Drosophila melanogaster: one gene and its partner. The protein of the gene in region 2 interacts with the protein of the main gene of each other region in a pairwise test. Each region holds a gene or a part of one and is shown on either strand. Other genes may lie near its edges.

The links.
Region 1: the proteins of CG3335 (region 2) and kra interact in a two-hybrid assay, tested with the Drosophila melanogaster proteins (one large-scale study listed by BioGRID).

The regions. Positions count from the first base shown.
Region 1 is NT_033777.3:5,593,928-5,602,691, reverse strand, and holds kra (krasavietz), read left to right. Parts: upstream 1-1,555; 5' UTR 1,556-1,677; intron 1,678-2,120; exon of another isoform or gene 2,121-2,654; intron 2,655-3,118; exon of another isoform or gene 3,119-3,327; 5' UTR 3,328-3,338; coding exon 3,339-3,576; intron 3,577-3,647; coding exon 3,648-3,748; intron 3,749-3,914; exon of another isoform or gene 3,915-4,054; intron 4,055-4,125; exon of another isoform or gene 4,126-4,269; intron 4,270-4,349; coding exon 4,350-4,488; intron 4,489-4,534; exon of another isoform or gene 4,535-4,677; intron 4,678-4,754; coding exon 4,755-4,920; intron 4,921-4,952; exon of another isoform or gene 4,953-5,096; intron 5,097-5,176; coding exon 5,177-5,420; intron 5,421-5,488; coding exon 5,489-5,831; intron 5,832-5,860; exon of another isoform or gene 5,861-5,995; intron 5,996-6,033; exon of another isoform or gene 6,034-6,166; intron 6,167-6,182; exon of another isoform or gene 6,183-6,332; intron 6,333-6,351; exon of another isoform or gene 6,352-6,491; intron 6,492-6,569; coding exon 6,570-6,607; 3' UTR 6,608-7,328; downstream 7,329-8,764. Other genes in the region: SecS (Sec synthetase), read right to left, coding at 1-778, 830-959, 1,023-1,136. UniProt on the Drosophila melanogaster protein: May be involved in memory formation.
Region 2 is NT_037436.4:9,622,601-9,629,030, reverse strand, and holds CG3335 (uncharacterized protein), read right to left. Parts: upstream 4,795-6,430; 5' UTR 4,695-4,794; coding exon 4,659-4,694; intron 4,607-4,658; coding exon 2,349-4,606; intron 2,291-2,348; coding exon 2,168-2,290; intron 2,119-2,167; coding exon 1,779-2,118; 3' UTR 1,710-1,778; downstream 1-1,709. Other genes in the region: Or67b (odorant receptor 67b), read left to right, coding at 35-134, 197-335, 396-590, 651-755, 810-978, 1,030-1,135, 1,197-1,298, 1,353-1,508 and 1 more; LanB2 (laminin B2), read right to left, coding at 5,641-5,852, 5,914-6,214, 6,272-6,430.

The DNA of each region.
Region 1 (8,764 bases), on a different chromosome or scaffold from region 2:
CGCTGATCGAAAAGCAATCGAAAGCCATTGCGCCCAAGTGAGAGTAGCGTCATCAAGACATCTAGTGACTGGGAACCACTAGCTCTCCCAGCATAAGTACTGGCCACATCGTGGAGCACACTCTCATTGAAGCTGGCCACAATGGCACTACCCACTGGCACCAGCAAATTCTTGTCGCTGCTCTGAACGAAGTAATCAATGCGTCCGACTCGATTGGCGCACTCCAACTGATTAACGATTTCCTTTGCCTGCAATCCATAGGCATTATTGACCAGATGGGGAATCTGCCATTGTTTGGACAACTTGGATACTTCGGCAATGTCATCGCTGTTTCGTGGAGCAAAACAACTGGTGGTAGTGTACAGGCAGAGGATGCTATCCACTCCCAATGACTTTATCTTTTCTCGGAATAAATCTACGTTCGTGTTCAGGGACTCTCCTTTAATAAGGCAGGGGATGACTACCGGCACCAAGCCCGTTGCTGTGATGGCCTTGAAGCAGGACTTCTGATCGATGCGGGACCAGAGCACATACCGCGCCCCGGGTCGCCGCTTGCGAAGACTCTGCAGGCACAAAGTCAATGTCATGCCTGTACACATTGGCACCAAAAAGCAGCCAGCACAGCTGGGCAGTCCGATTCCCCGAATAAGGTCCAGAATCAGGGCGTTTGTGAGACGAGCGAGCAGCGTAGAGCCAGCTGCCTTGGGTTGTGCCTCTAGTAAGTCTCCAGATCTGCCGATACCATGACCGAAGTTGTAGTGACGGCGAGCCACGAGTTCTGAATGACAAATTCATTACGGGGGATATCGCCTCCTGATCCCTTACTTACTGCAGGCTATACGCGCCTCCCGCTCTCCTAAACCGACCTTATGTGGATAGTTATTGCTGTCCAAGGAAGCCAGCATGTGCACCAGCTCCTCGATACGTTCATCGGACCAACCATTTTTCGGAAGCTTTCGCTTGAAAAGAAGAATTATCCATGGAGTTATCAATTAATTTGGGTTTAATTTCGGTTTGATTACCTTTTCGAGCAGCTCCTTAAAACTGCGCTGCTTACTGCGTTGCGCAGCCAGTCCCAGTTGCAAATAGTTGTCCGGCACTAGTTTCTCTGGTATATTGACCTGCTCAAAGTTCATTTGGCTTTTGGATAATGTAAATATAAACTAAAAGTAAACAATGTCTATCGCCGCTTTCAGGTGCGCAAAAAAAAAACAGTTAAATTTTCTTACTGAGCAAGTAAGGCGGCGATGCCATATTGTTTAAATAGCTGACAAATGGACACCTTTCGATTTTGTTTAAAGTGGAGGAAAAATATATAATATATACAAAGGCGTATTTTCGAAAATAAACTCCTCGCAACGCTACTAAAATGGACTTAACTTAATTTGTTGAATTTGTTAAGGTTAAATATGAATTTTGTTAATGCAAACATGACTTTTGTGGAATCTTTGATTCCGTTAAATGTCCGGCAGCGCTGCACCATTTTCAGGTCCGGTTAGTGGGGCCAGCCAACAGCTTCACCAAAATGTTGCCACCTTTTGGACACCTTAGTGAGCTCTGTACCATTGCGTACGAAGCAGGCCACGGTCATACCGCAAGTCATCCAGAAGAAGCAGCCCAACAGCTACGCAAAAAGTTACTTTTATTCGCAGCAAAACAGATTTTTTTGTTTTAATCGTAAGTATAGGAGTGAAAAATAGCGCTAGAGTAGACCTAAGTACACAGAAAGACAAATAGGGCGAGTAAAATCGCGGTCCTGGTCATTTCTCTGGCCTTGACCAATCCTTTGTCTGCGCTTTCGTTGGAAAAGGGGTTATGTACGAACTGCGTGCGTACCTAAGGCCAGATTAGTCATCGGGCAGTCATATATTCATGCAAAAAATCATTTGGTGGCCGTCGGCCTTTGTTCGACTGTACCTTGCTCATTATTTAATAAGCGCGACAGCAATATACACACTTTGAACCCCCATCCCACATTTTTTCTCACCGTTTCCCCCTAATTTTCGTTTTCCCTGTGCCCATCATTCCGCTTTCGCCATGTCAGTGTATCGCTTCAAAATGGCGCCGAACCACATGTCTTCGTTCTCGGCTCGTCCGCTTCGTTCGTGCGCTCGTGTGTCGTCTCATTCGCTCTCCGAATTTCGTTTAACAAAGTGGTGCGAGCAGAGGGGCGCTGGATTCGAGGCAAACAACACATATACCTAGTAACCGATTGTGATAGCTGTTAAAAATAGAATTCCGGACGTAGTCTGAGCAAAATTGTTAACGTTTATTTTGAAGGCATAAAAGTAAATTCCGTTACAAAAAATTATATTTTCTATTTGCTCTCCCCTTTTCTTTGTTGTTGTGTGTGTGCGTGCGTGTCAATTTTACCGTGCAAAAGCTCGCTCATAAGAAAAGAGAGGTAAGAAAAGAAGGGATCTGCCATCTGTCTCTTTGTTTTTCGTCGACTCGAGTGAGAAGCATTAACCAGCCAGCGCTTCGTGAGGTTAAATTAAATTACATATTCTCGCACGTTCGTTAGTTGTGAAAAAGCAACAGGCACACACACACACACATACACACTACACTCGCACACGACTGATTTCAATTGATTGCAAGGACACGCGGAAGCGGCAAACACAGGGCCAGACTTAATATCCTTGGGTGAAAGCGTAAGTTGCCGTTCCTTATATGTACCAATGTGTACTTGATAGCCTAGATAATTTAATTTTTGCGTTTTCGCTGCTATGACAATTTTCCCGGCCAACTAGCACACAGTCATCGGCGCGTTTTTATGTGCACTACATGCACAATGACCTCATTTCCCCAGCGCGCTACCTAACACAAGTAACCACGTCAAAATTTCACTTTATTCTGCGTTTCTATGTCGATTTCTTGGTCGCCTCACCTCTCAATTCTTTTTATTTCTTTTGTCGACATTATCAAACTGTAAAATGCACAGTGGGTATGTGTGTGTGAAAAAGAGAGATAATTAAAAAGAGATGTGAAGTGTGCCCGTTCTCCGCTCTTGAATGTGTGTGTTTAAAGCACATGTACGCTGGCATTTTTAGGTTAAGGCTTTCTTAGGCTCAGTTTTCACTAGAGTTTCCACTTAAACGCCGGTCATAGGTGAAAATGTTGTAGTTTGATTATGAGCGCAACGAGAATACATATACAGGGAACGGTTTTCCACCGCTTGGAGACCACCTTAGTCATCTTACACTAAAATTAAGATAAATCTAAAAATGAATCTAGTGGCCATGATAATTTAGTCTGGTCAGAAATAAAAACTTACAGGGGCAAACCAAAACCGCTTCCATCTCTGATCCACATTTACCTTTGCAGCAATTTATTGTATGAGTCAAAAAACTGAAAGACCAGTGCTATCGGGTCAACGCATCAAGACCAGAAAAAGAGATGAAAGAGAAAAATATGACCCAACGGGATTCCGTGATGCGGTCATTGCTGGTCTCGAAAAAACTGAAGGCGACCTGGAACAAATCTCTAAATATCTAGACAGCGCGGGCAACAAGCTCGACTATCGTCGCTACGGTGAAGTTCTCTTTGACATATTGATTGCAGGAGGTCTACTAGGTAAGTTTTCCGCTGCAAGTAATGTGTTTAGTCTCTTCACTGACCCTTTTCCATCCTCGTTTCAATTGCAGTGCCTGGTGGTTCTATATCTCAGGATGGCGAAAAGCCGCGCACAAGCTACTGCATCTTCGATGCGCCCGAGAGCATGGAGAGCATGCGCAACCATGAGCAGGTTTGTAATCTTTTAGCAGGTCATACTTAAATTATGATTATGAGTAAACGAAAATTGGTTTGATTGCAACACAAGTTGAGCTCTTGTTGTTTTCCAAGCTAAAACGTTTATTTACTACTAAATGATTTTCTTCGGATCCACTTAAAAGTATGAAATTCGTGAAGTGGCTGCATATCATTAGAGCTGACTATAAAGTTTCAAAAATGTAATCGGTGTCAAGAATATGCAATAACAATCAACACATTTACTTGTCTTTGGTTTGTCCTAAACACTAACGTTCTGAAGATTTCTTATGTGTCAACAACTACTCTTTATTCAACACTATATATATATACTATATGCATGCAACCACTGCGAAGGTCACGCTATTGAATCAAAGTGCATATTATTAGAACCGGTTATGCATCTCAACAACTCAATCGGTGTCAAAATATGCAAAATAAAAAGCCACATTTTACTTGTCTTTATTTTGTAAAATTACTACCGCCAGCAATCTAAAGATTTCTAATGTTGCAACAACAAATACAAAAGCCTCCTGCGTGAGAACACAGTAAAATTTCACCATCCGCTAACAGGGGCAATCACACTTTACCTTTTCCAGGTATTTGTCAAGCTCATCAGACGGTACAAGTACCTTGAGAAAATGTTCGAAGAGGAGATGGGAAAGGTTCTATTATTCGTAAAGGGCTTTACTCCTAGTGAACGCATCAAGCTTGCGCGTATGACAGCGCTCTGGTTAGGTAAGTCTTAACATTTATGTTCCTGTTCCTCCTGTGCATTGCTTGCGTCTGCCCATTCGGTCTTTCAATTAGTTGTTTCGATAAACACTTGTTCAACTTGCAGCTGAGGGGCTAAAGTAATCCTTCACTTGGTATACTGACTCTTGGATGAACTAACCACATCTAAGGGCCACGAGCCCAAGGACAGGATTGCTAGCCGGCCGTCTAAACTTGTTTTGCGAAAACATTTGACTAACCCTATATTTAACCCTATTTTTGATCAACAGTCAACGGTTCTGTACCGCCAAATGTTTTACTGGTACTAAACAACGAGCACCTAATCAAGGATGGCATTGCATTGGAGTTTCTACTAGAGCTGTTCCAGACGTTCAAGCAAGAGAAGGGCATTGCATATCTGATTCAGGCGCTTAAGAAGGGTGGACTGGAAAGCAAGTAAGTTTTTAGTTGTGATTTGTTTTTAGCCCCGGAATGTTCTCAGGAAGATGACTCAATGATCCAGTTGTGCATCTTTAATTGATATTCCTAGAGTAAGAAAGTTCGACGGAGTTTTACCCAATTCGCAAATGACCTTTCGCTTCATTTGGGTGCTGATTTAATTTCGTACACCTCAATACGTCATTTAAGGTTGATTATTGAATGCGTTAACTTAAATTATTAATAATGGTTCCACTTTTTCACGTTTTTCCAGACTTATGGACTTTTTCCCACCGAACAAACGTACTGAGGAATATTTTAAACAAGTTTTTCTTGACAAAGAACTTAACGAGATCGTCAAGCTACATAAGGCTCAGGCTAGCCAGGAGGCGAAGCGTGAGTTGCAGCAGGCGCTCATCGATGATATCAACGATGAGAAGCCATATAATGAGATAACCTCAGACATTAAGGACTTCTCGCAGCGCACCAACATTCCCGATCATGAAATAATTGTTATTGTAAGTCGATGCGTAAATAATCCAACTGGATGATTTCCTTACTAAATCTCATGTATGATCTTTACCAGATTTGGTCCACCATCATGTCATTGGGCGAATGGAACAAGAAGGAGGAGCTGGTTACCGATCAGGCTGTTCGTCATCTGAAGAACTACTGCCCACTGTTGCAGGCTTTCGCCTCGACCGACCGTTCGGAATTGGCCCTAATCTTGAAGGTGCAGGAATTCTGCTACGAGAACATGAACTTCATGAAGGCCTTCCAGAAAATCATTTTGTTGTTCTACAAGACCGAGGTCCTGTCCGAGGAGATCATCTTGCGCTGGTACAAGGAGGGCCACTCAAACAAGGGCAAAATGCATTTCCTTGAACAAATGCGAAAGTTTGTCGAATGGCTTCAGTCAGCCGAAGAAGGTTAGTATGTTTTGATAAATGTTATCAGCGTGCAATTTTTGAGAATGGTCTTGTCTTAAATAGCTTGATTCTGGTACGTAATTGCAAGAGAAATTTGGGTTTTTTGCTTGCCTCGTTGATTTCCATTCACTGAACAACGTAGGCCAATGAAAACCTGGACAATATAAATATTCAAATTTTGCTTCCTTCGAAACTTTACACAGTGCACTTTTTGAGAATGGTCTTGTCCTGGATGACATTTTCATTGTACAAAATTGCAAGAGCATTTGAGTTTTTGCTTGCCTTGTTGCCTCACAAAATCCGAGCATCAAAGGCCAATGAAAACTTGGACACAAATAGCTGACTTCACCGAGCATGCTTCTTACCAAGCTTTTAAAGTGTTCCCATTATTAGGAACCAGTTTTAAAGGGTTCATGTACAGTATGCAAAAGCGAAAGAATGATTGGGTGCCCATATAACCCAATGCCGTGGTTAATTTGGCCAATAATCGTTTGGACAGCTGCATTTGTCCTAGTCCGCATGCACAATCCCCTCATAAAAGCTCCGAATGGTTGCTTCATTCGATTGAGCCAAGCGGGGAGTTGTGCCAAAGCATTTGAATGGTTGGGTGTCCAGATAACTTTCCATAGTTAAATTTGGCCAATAATCATTTGGACAGCATAACCGGAGCTGCACATCTTTTCAGTTTGTACCAATTGAAGCCCCCATACTAACATTTTGTATTCTATTCTCTTTCAGAATCCGAATCTGAGGACGAACAAAAGAATGGCGAGTAAGAACTTGGTTGATGGCTAAATGAGGATGAACACAAACGGAGCCGCCCTTTAGCATCCCCATCCAAAAATTCGAAACCAGCACCTGCAACAGCCAGTCGAACTATATATAAAACTCACCCCTATGAATTAATGTCATTTTGAAAACTCCACCTATATAAAACTCAAAAATTCCAACAAATAAAGGAGAGAGTAAAAAAAACATGCTAGAAACTAAACGTTTGCAGTCCAGTCTGATATCATTCACGAATCTACACTTAGTTCCCGTTTGCAATATACCGGCAAACCCATACTATATATGTTAATAAAAGTTTGAAGTGGAAACAGCAGCACGCTCCAAATTAATAGAGAACATCTGACCGCCAATAACGTCGACTACTACGACCTGCAGTGAGGTAGCTGGAGTTCCGCGGAGTTGATGCAACAAATAAAAAACCAAAAGAGATACCACAGAGATGCTTTGTGTGAATTCGGGGATGTGTTCCGTTTGCATGTTCGCATTATTCATCAATAAATTTTCCTCATATATGCGTTTAACAAGTAGTACTCACTCTCGAAGGATTTGCCACGGCGATGAAAGGAAATTAACAAGTTATATTTGAAAGATCAATATCATTTAGCAAAGTTTCGTCGAACAAAATCTATGGATTTACGAAATATAAGATACATGGACTTAGCACATGTATACGTATAAAACCATTAAACAACCCAAAGTATTTAACTGAAACGCTGAGAAAGCATTGTATTTAAATTTGATTGGCATATAGGGGCATATTTTTGTTTAACAAATTTAGTTGGCATTATGAGGGGTCTAACTTCAAATCAGTTTTTTAAGGTCTTAAAAAGATGTGGTCCGATTCTATATTTAAAAGTTTGACAAAAAACCAAATCCGAATGCTGGATCCCCATTTCTGCAACTTCGAATATTTTGTACGTTTATTGTTACAGACATGGCCAAATCTAGTCGTCATTCATTTGTGACAAATATTACAAGTTTTAAGAAGTTACCTTTTTTCTTTTTGTATTACTTACATTGAATAAGACATATCCCGAAAAGTATGCAGCACTATTTTGGTTCGGAAGATACAATGTTTGAGATACGCTTTACTCGTCTAGTTTTAGTTCAACGGAAAGGCATCTTCTAAAGCAAACTCGTGGTGCTTCCAAGTTACAGGAATCTGCGAGTTTAGTCCAGACCTTCTGGCTTTTTTATGTTCTAGGTTTTCATACAAACATGAGCAAGTTGACTCTGCTGATCAAGAATATGGGTGTACTTAATTAAGACTTATTTGAAGTCCTAGATTGAATTTCTTAAAATAGTTTACCCCATGTCTTGTTTTTAGGATCATTAGAACATTGCAAAAGGAAGTTGTTATACAGTTAAGTTTAGTTTTTGGAAATACTGTTTTTTATTCAACATAAATTTTGTTTAAAAGTAATTTTTCTTGCATTTTGTATTTCATGTAATGTATATAGTACTCGATGTTATATAATAACGCATATGCTACTTGTATTTGTTTGCTAATCTTGTAGTTATTCATCATATTGAACTTGGTAACTTGGTTAGAAAATGAGCTTGAAGAATACACTATGAACATTGGCGAACATGCGAATACAAGGTTCAAATTTACTGTAGCTCCTGCTCCTGTATGCTAGTCGTGTGTTTGAACATGGTGTGTTGATTTTTAGAGCCTGATATGATGGCGCAGCGTCAGGTGGAAACGGTGGCAGTTCGGCAGTCCCCTAAATTGCAAAACTAATTTCCATTTTTCTATATTTTCTTTAAGTAGTTATATGAGGGTGTGAAAGCTGCACTTGATGGTCAGGTCAACAAACTTAGCTACTTGGCAAAACTTCATCGTCGTTGGTGCATGTGTAATGAATGGGTATTAAGTGTCGCGTGCTAAGCAGTGTGTATTCTCTACTCTCGGTATCTCAACAACAACAGACATTGATGATTTTCGGGGCTTTCGTTGAGCCAGTGGCAGTTGCACAAGCGTCCGTTGCCCTCGAAGAAGCGAAATCGGGGGTTTAGGTCCATTTCGGTGCTTCGCTGAGCAACAATGCTGTGTGGTCGCATGCGCAACCTGCCAGCGGCTCTGTAAAAGGGGCGATCCACTGCCGTTGTTCCTCCTGAACGCTGCACTTGATAATTACGAA
Region 2 (6,430 bases):
TTGTTTTTGTTAAATTAGGGTCTTTCTTATCCAGAACTCGCATTTTGGTGTTGATTGTTAACTTGAGTATAATCTACAGTCTCGTCGCCTTTATTATGGAGAACTATATGATCTCCTTCGAGACCTACGTTGAGGTTTGGTTTAATGTGCCTTATTCCTAATCTGCGCACTTCTAATTCTTTATATATTCTATTAGGCTGTTTTGCTTACCTTTCAATTAAGCGTTGGTGTGGTTAAGATGTTTCACTTTCAGAACAAAGTGGAATCGTGTTCCCAACTAGTGTTTTCTACGGAGACTGGAGAGGTATTAAAGTCCCTGGGTCTTTTTCAATTGGGTAAGACAGTAGAGTCAGTGATATCTGTTCTTTAATATGTTCGAAACATTTCAAAAACAGATTTGCCGAGAAAAAAGGAACTGCTGAGCTCAGTTAGTTTGATTTTGCTTAACAATTGGATGATAATCGATCGTCAGGTGATGTTCTTCTTCAAGATCGTTTGCATGCCTGTTCTATACTATTGTGTGCGACCATACTTTCAATATATCTTCGATTGCTATATCAAGGACAAGGATACCTGTGAAATGACCTTGAGTAGGCAAACTAAGGGTACCACTTCAACATTCTGATTTAATTAATATATGTATATTACAGCTTACCCGGCAATTGTGCCTTATTTGCAATTGGGAAATTATGAATTTCCTTCCTATGTGATTCGCTTCTTTTTACTTCAATCTGGTCCTCTTTGGTGCTTTTTTGGTGGGTCTGCTAAGTTATTAACTTGAATAATAATTAAAAAACTTTTCCCTTAAGCCGTTTTTGGCTTTAACAGCCTTTTCGTGGTCCTTACCAGATATGAGTCTGGTCTGATAAAAGTCCTAAGGTTTCTGGTCCAAAATTCCACCTCGGATATCCTGGTTCCCAAGGACCAAAGAGTTAAATATCTTCAATGTTGCGTGAGGCTTTTTGCTCGCATATCAAGGTGAGAGGATAGACTTCTTAAAACTAACTCTTCAAACCACTTTTCATTTAGCCATCATAATCAAATTGAAAACCTCTTCAAGTATATCATCCTGGTTCAGTGTTCCGTTAGCAGTATTTTGATCTGCATGCTGCTCTACAAGATCAGCACGGTTTTGGTGAGTTGATTGATAAGCTATAGAATTTACAAATCTTTTTATTTAAAAATTGTTTCATTAGGAAGTGGGCTGGGTGTGGATGGGCATGATTATGGTCTACTTTGTGACCATAGCTCTGGAGATCACTCTGTACAACGTGAGTGCACAGAAGGTGGAGAGCCAGGTATATTATATTGTATAATTTCAATTTTTATGTAAGGAATTATTGTATTTTTAGAGTGAACTGCTGTTCCATGACTGGTACAACTGTAGTTGGTATAATGAGTCAAGGGAATTCAAGTTCATGATCAAAATGATGCTGCTTTTCTCACGCCGAACTTTTGTTTTAAGCGTGGGTGGGTTTACAAGTCTCTCCCACAAGTTCCTAGTGCAGGTATTGTATTGAAATTGTCTTTTATTTCATACCATATTAAGATTCCACTTTCAGGTCTTTCGGTTGAGTGCAAACTTCTTTCTGCTCCTGCGCAACATGAACAACAAATAGGTTTCCTAGTACTTACTTGGAACTATTTCGTTATTGCGGTTACGGATTCGATAGTAACTTGCAGTTATTAAAACAGAGTCGTGCAGTTTTGTTCATAAAAATAACAATTTCTATTTATTATATCGTGTTCTTTCTACACTTTCAAGCTACGCCTGAGGCCTATTGCTCCTCCTCTTCGTCGTCATCTTGATTTGGCTGCACACTGCCCTCCACATCGAAGAAGGATTTTCTACTGCGTTTGGCCGCAGTGGCCGCTTGACTGCCATCGAATTTGGCTGCCGTTCGCTTGCGAAGCTCCTCCACGTCCTGGTTGTCGTCGTTGGCGCTCCACTCAAGCACCAAACGACGACCGTAAAGATGCGTACTGGCGCTTAGGGCGTCGAAGGCGCGTTTGGCCTCCGCCTTGGACATGTAGTCAACGAAACCGAAACCACGATGCGCATCCTCGCCCGTGGTCGCCTTTTTAGGAATACGTAAGGATCGCAGTTCGCCAAAAGCCCTAAAAGCACGGATTAGAATTTTTCCTAACCGGTATGACCTATACGTACTTGAATATATCTCGAACCTCGCGGTATTGTGCCTGGAAGGGAATATTTCGCACCAGGATTTTGGTTCCCGTTTGCTTCTTCTGTGAGGCCAGTCGACGTTGTGCGCCATCATTATCTTGGGTTCTGGAAAAGATTATCCCATTAGCAAAGAAAAAGTAAAGTTCGGTTTTCCGAGGCTTACTTGAGCACACGATCGCTGCGCTTCAGTTCCACGGGATTACCATCTATGTGGGTGAGCTGCAAGTTCTTGAGAGCGTGCTCTGCCACTGAGGACTTCTTGAACTGAATGAAGCCGTAGCCAAGGGACTTGAATTCCCGGGGATTCTCGGGATCCCTTCGCTTAGCAATTTCAACAGTGTGAATGCTACCCAAATGGCGGAAGTGTTTCTCAACGGTTTCCTGTACGGTTTTAAAGTTAAGGTTCCGTAGAAATAGTGTTGTATTCGGTTCGGGTTCATCATCGGCATCCTCTGCCCTAGAATCCTCCTCGTCAGGTTTCGCATCATTTACAATCGGTTTCTCCTCTGGCTTTACCTCCTCCTTTGGTTTCGGTTCCGATTTGGGAATCACTGGCTCTCCACTAAGGGTCTTGGTAAAGACCTGCTCGGGAGCCCACTCCAAATAGAGTGGGGCATTCTTGAATTTACTGTAGGCCAACTTCTTGAAAGCTTGCCTCGCCTCCAAAGGATCACAGTACTCGATAAGTGCCGTAACCCCACTGGGAGGAAGCACAATCCTGCCAATTGGGCCAAATCGACTAAAGATGGGGGTAATCTCTGAAATCTCTGTGGCCGCTGGCAAATTCTTGGCTAGTATAACAGTGTTAGAACGTTTCTTTGCGGGCTCATCAAATGCATCAAGACGAACGCCTTCTTCCTCCAGGAAGCGCTTCATCTCGATGACGACTTGGGTTTCTCCCAAAGCCAAGCGCACGGCGGCACTACTGCCACCATCGCTTGTGTCCAGGATGCGTTCCTTTGAGGTCTTGAATTGCTTGGCGAGAATTTCTGCAACAGCATTGGCACCCAGAAACAATGTGTTCCAGCCAATTGGTTTTTGGGCGTTCTTCTTGAGTTTCAAGGCCTTCTTTTCTTTGAATGACAGACTGGCATCGTTTTCATCCAAATCCTCTTTCGGATTCTTTTCGATGTCCTTGCTGGGCAGAAGGTGCAAGAGACGGCCATGGAAATCAGTGCCATCGAGGGTATTAAAAGCCTTTAATGCGTGCTCCGGCATCATGTACGTAACTGTACCAAAGCCCTTGATTTTTCGCGTTAGCTTGTCGAGGGGCAAGTTAACCTCCACCACGGGACCGAACTGCTCGAAAAGCTTGCGCAGATCCTCTTCGGTAGTAGTGTATGCTAGATTACGAAAGAATATCCTCCCGGACTCGGAGATGTCATCTTCTTTGGATAAACTGTCCTGCTGATGCTTCCACTTCGCATTGCCCGCATCGACGGCGGCTGGTGCCAATGGTTGTCCACTCTTGCTCGCTTTGGTCACCTTGTTCTTCTCTGTAAAGTCGGAGAAGAATACTTGCTTGCCCTTGATGAAACTCTTGTTTTTAAGCATTCCCTTGGCCATGTCTTTCTCAGTTTTAAAACCCACGTAGCAGAAGCCGTGAACTTTGCTGGGCAGCCGAACGGAGTACGGTTTCAGGGGCTTGAAAAACTTTAGCACCTCCTGGCGCTTGGTGTTGTATGGTACATTGTGTATTTTAATGGTGAACAGCTCCAAATTTGATTTATCCGCCTTGGCTTTGGGTTTCTTTGCAGTAGCTTCGCCGGATGTGGTTGCCATCAGGGATTTCATATACTCAAGATCGCTGATGGGCTTTTCGGCCAGTTTATCGGTGTCTTCTTCCTCATCTGCCTCATCGCCTGAGCCATCCTCATCTCCTGCATCTGCATCCACTCCACTGTCATCTCTGGCAGCTCGAGATTCTTCCTGTTCCTCATCATCCTCTTCTTCGTTCTCCCGATTTTTATTTATACCCAAATCGTTTCCCCACAGCGTTCGCGACTTGTCATGCGCCTCTAGAAACTCTTGGAATTCCGGATCGTCTTTGTGTCTGCTCAAAATTTGGTCCACCTTGTCAACTTTATCTTTCTTCTTCTTTTTCTCAGACTCCTTAGCCTTGGCAGCCGCCTCCCTTTCCTTCTCCTTCAATTTGTCTAGGTTCTTCTTGCTGTCCTTGGCGTACTTGCTCCAAGATTGTGGCTTATCTTCGCTGCCCAAGGCAGCACAGGATTCGACGCGCACCCGGCTGGTCTGAATGCATGTGTTGTCAAAGTGCCGGATGGCCGATTGGGCCTCCTCCTCGGTGCTGTAACCCACGAAGCAAAATTGCCGAAACTTTCCATCGGGCGTGTATTTTAGTTGCAGATCCGTAATCGTGCCCTGGGCACCAAAAATCTGACGCAGTTTGTCTTCGGTGATCTACAATTTCAGTTTAAGTAGATGCTTTTTTTTAACAAGTCTACATACTCACATGCTTGGGCAGCTGTTTGACTATAATTCGTGACATCTTTTGTGGCTAATTTGTCGGTCTGCAGCTAAAAACTCATTTAAGAAAACTTTTGTTTACAAACAAATTGAAACAACACGTGCATTAGATATGCAAAACGAGCGATAGTAGCATCAGTAGTATCGAAAGTCGAAATTTGTATACTATCGAAAAGTCTATCGTTTCATCGACTCTACTTTACGTTACATTTTACATGTAGATATTCAAATTTATATATTTTTTAAGTTGTGTTTCGATTATAATGGGTGATGGCAAATCAAAGCTGAATGAAAAAGTAAAATAACCTCGACTTCAAAACGTCACTTCGCTTGAGCATCCTTATATTTCCCCAGTTCAAGTTTAAAGGGTGGATTTTTACAAACTTACAACGTTGGAAAAGTTATATTTTGAAAGGAAACTCTTTAAGCGACTTATACACAAAGATACATGGTAATTGTATTGGCACATTAAACGTAGATGACAAATATGTTAATATATAAGTGTTTAGAATAGACTTCAGGTGGAGCTACGGTAGAGATATAGATATGCGATTGGATTGTCGGATTGTGGGAGTACAAGGTCTTGTGTGTTTCGTTTAGTGTCTCATTTTTAACATATAATACAGTCCGTTGCTGGCTTGAAACTGGTGAAGCACAGTTGGCAGTTGATTCTCGATGTGGCCATCATCCATCCTCTTGTATCCGTTGTATCATTATAGTATATGGCATACAGTAGGCGAACGATGATGCGTTAAAGCTTAACGTTGCTCAGTTGGTCTCCTTTGTGGATCCTTGGATCCTTGGGCTGGGTCACTAAACAGAATATTTCGGCTAAGGCACTAAAATTACATAATTTCATTCAACGTCTACGTTCTATCATAAATCTGATTTGTTCGTCTCGTCTCAGATCTTCGTTCTTAGTTAAAATTGAAGTAGTTGTTATGGGAAGTGGGGTTGTTCGCAGAGCTCTAGGGTTCCAGGCGATTGCGACTGAAGCAGCTATCGGGGAGAGCCTTGGAAATAAGTCCAATATTCTGGACTTCATCCTTGAGCTCCCTCAGCTCGGCATCGTACTTGTCGATCAGATTCTTCTGAATGGTGCGCTGTTCCCGGTACTTTTCGATGCGTCCCGTCAGGTTGACGCGATTGATCTCACCCTCCACAGTGGCCAAACGATTCTCTGCGAGATTAATTAGATTACTCATAAGTAAATTCAGATTAGAGAGGTTTCTGTTTCTTACCCAATCTATCCAAATCGCCCGTGTTGATGTCCTTCAGATTCTCCAGCTCATCCTTGATGGCCGTCAGGTCGGCATTGGCCTTCTCGATCTGCTTCTGGGCCTCCTGGGTATCGGCCTTGGCCTGACCCACCTTTCGCTTGGCGTCGTCCACCAGATTGTCGTCCTTGGTCGAGCTCTCCTCCAGCTTGAAGATGTCCATTTCGGTGAGTTTCACGCGATGATTCAGTTGGTCGGCCTCTTCGCGCAGATTGCGGGCAGCCACCTTGGTCTCATTGGCTTTGCGGCGGATCAGCTCAGCATCCTGTCAAGAAATTTTACGAATTTAGTAAGGATAATAAGATGTCCCTGAATGACTTACCTTGGAAGCCTGTTCGGCATACTTCAGCTGCGCCTCCTGGGCATTCTTCTTGGCCTCGTTGGCATTCTTATTGGCTCCATCGAGAGCCTCCTCCGCCTGGCTGATCAGGCTTTCCGCATTCTGAATCTCCTTCTCGATGTTGGGCACCGTCTGCAGGGC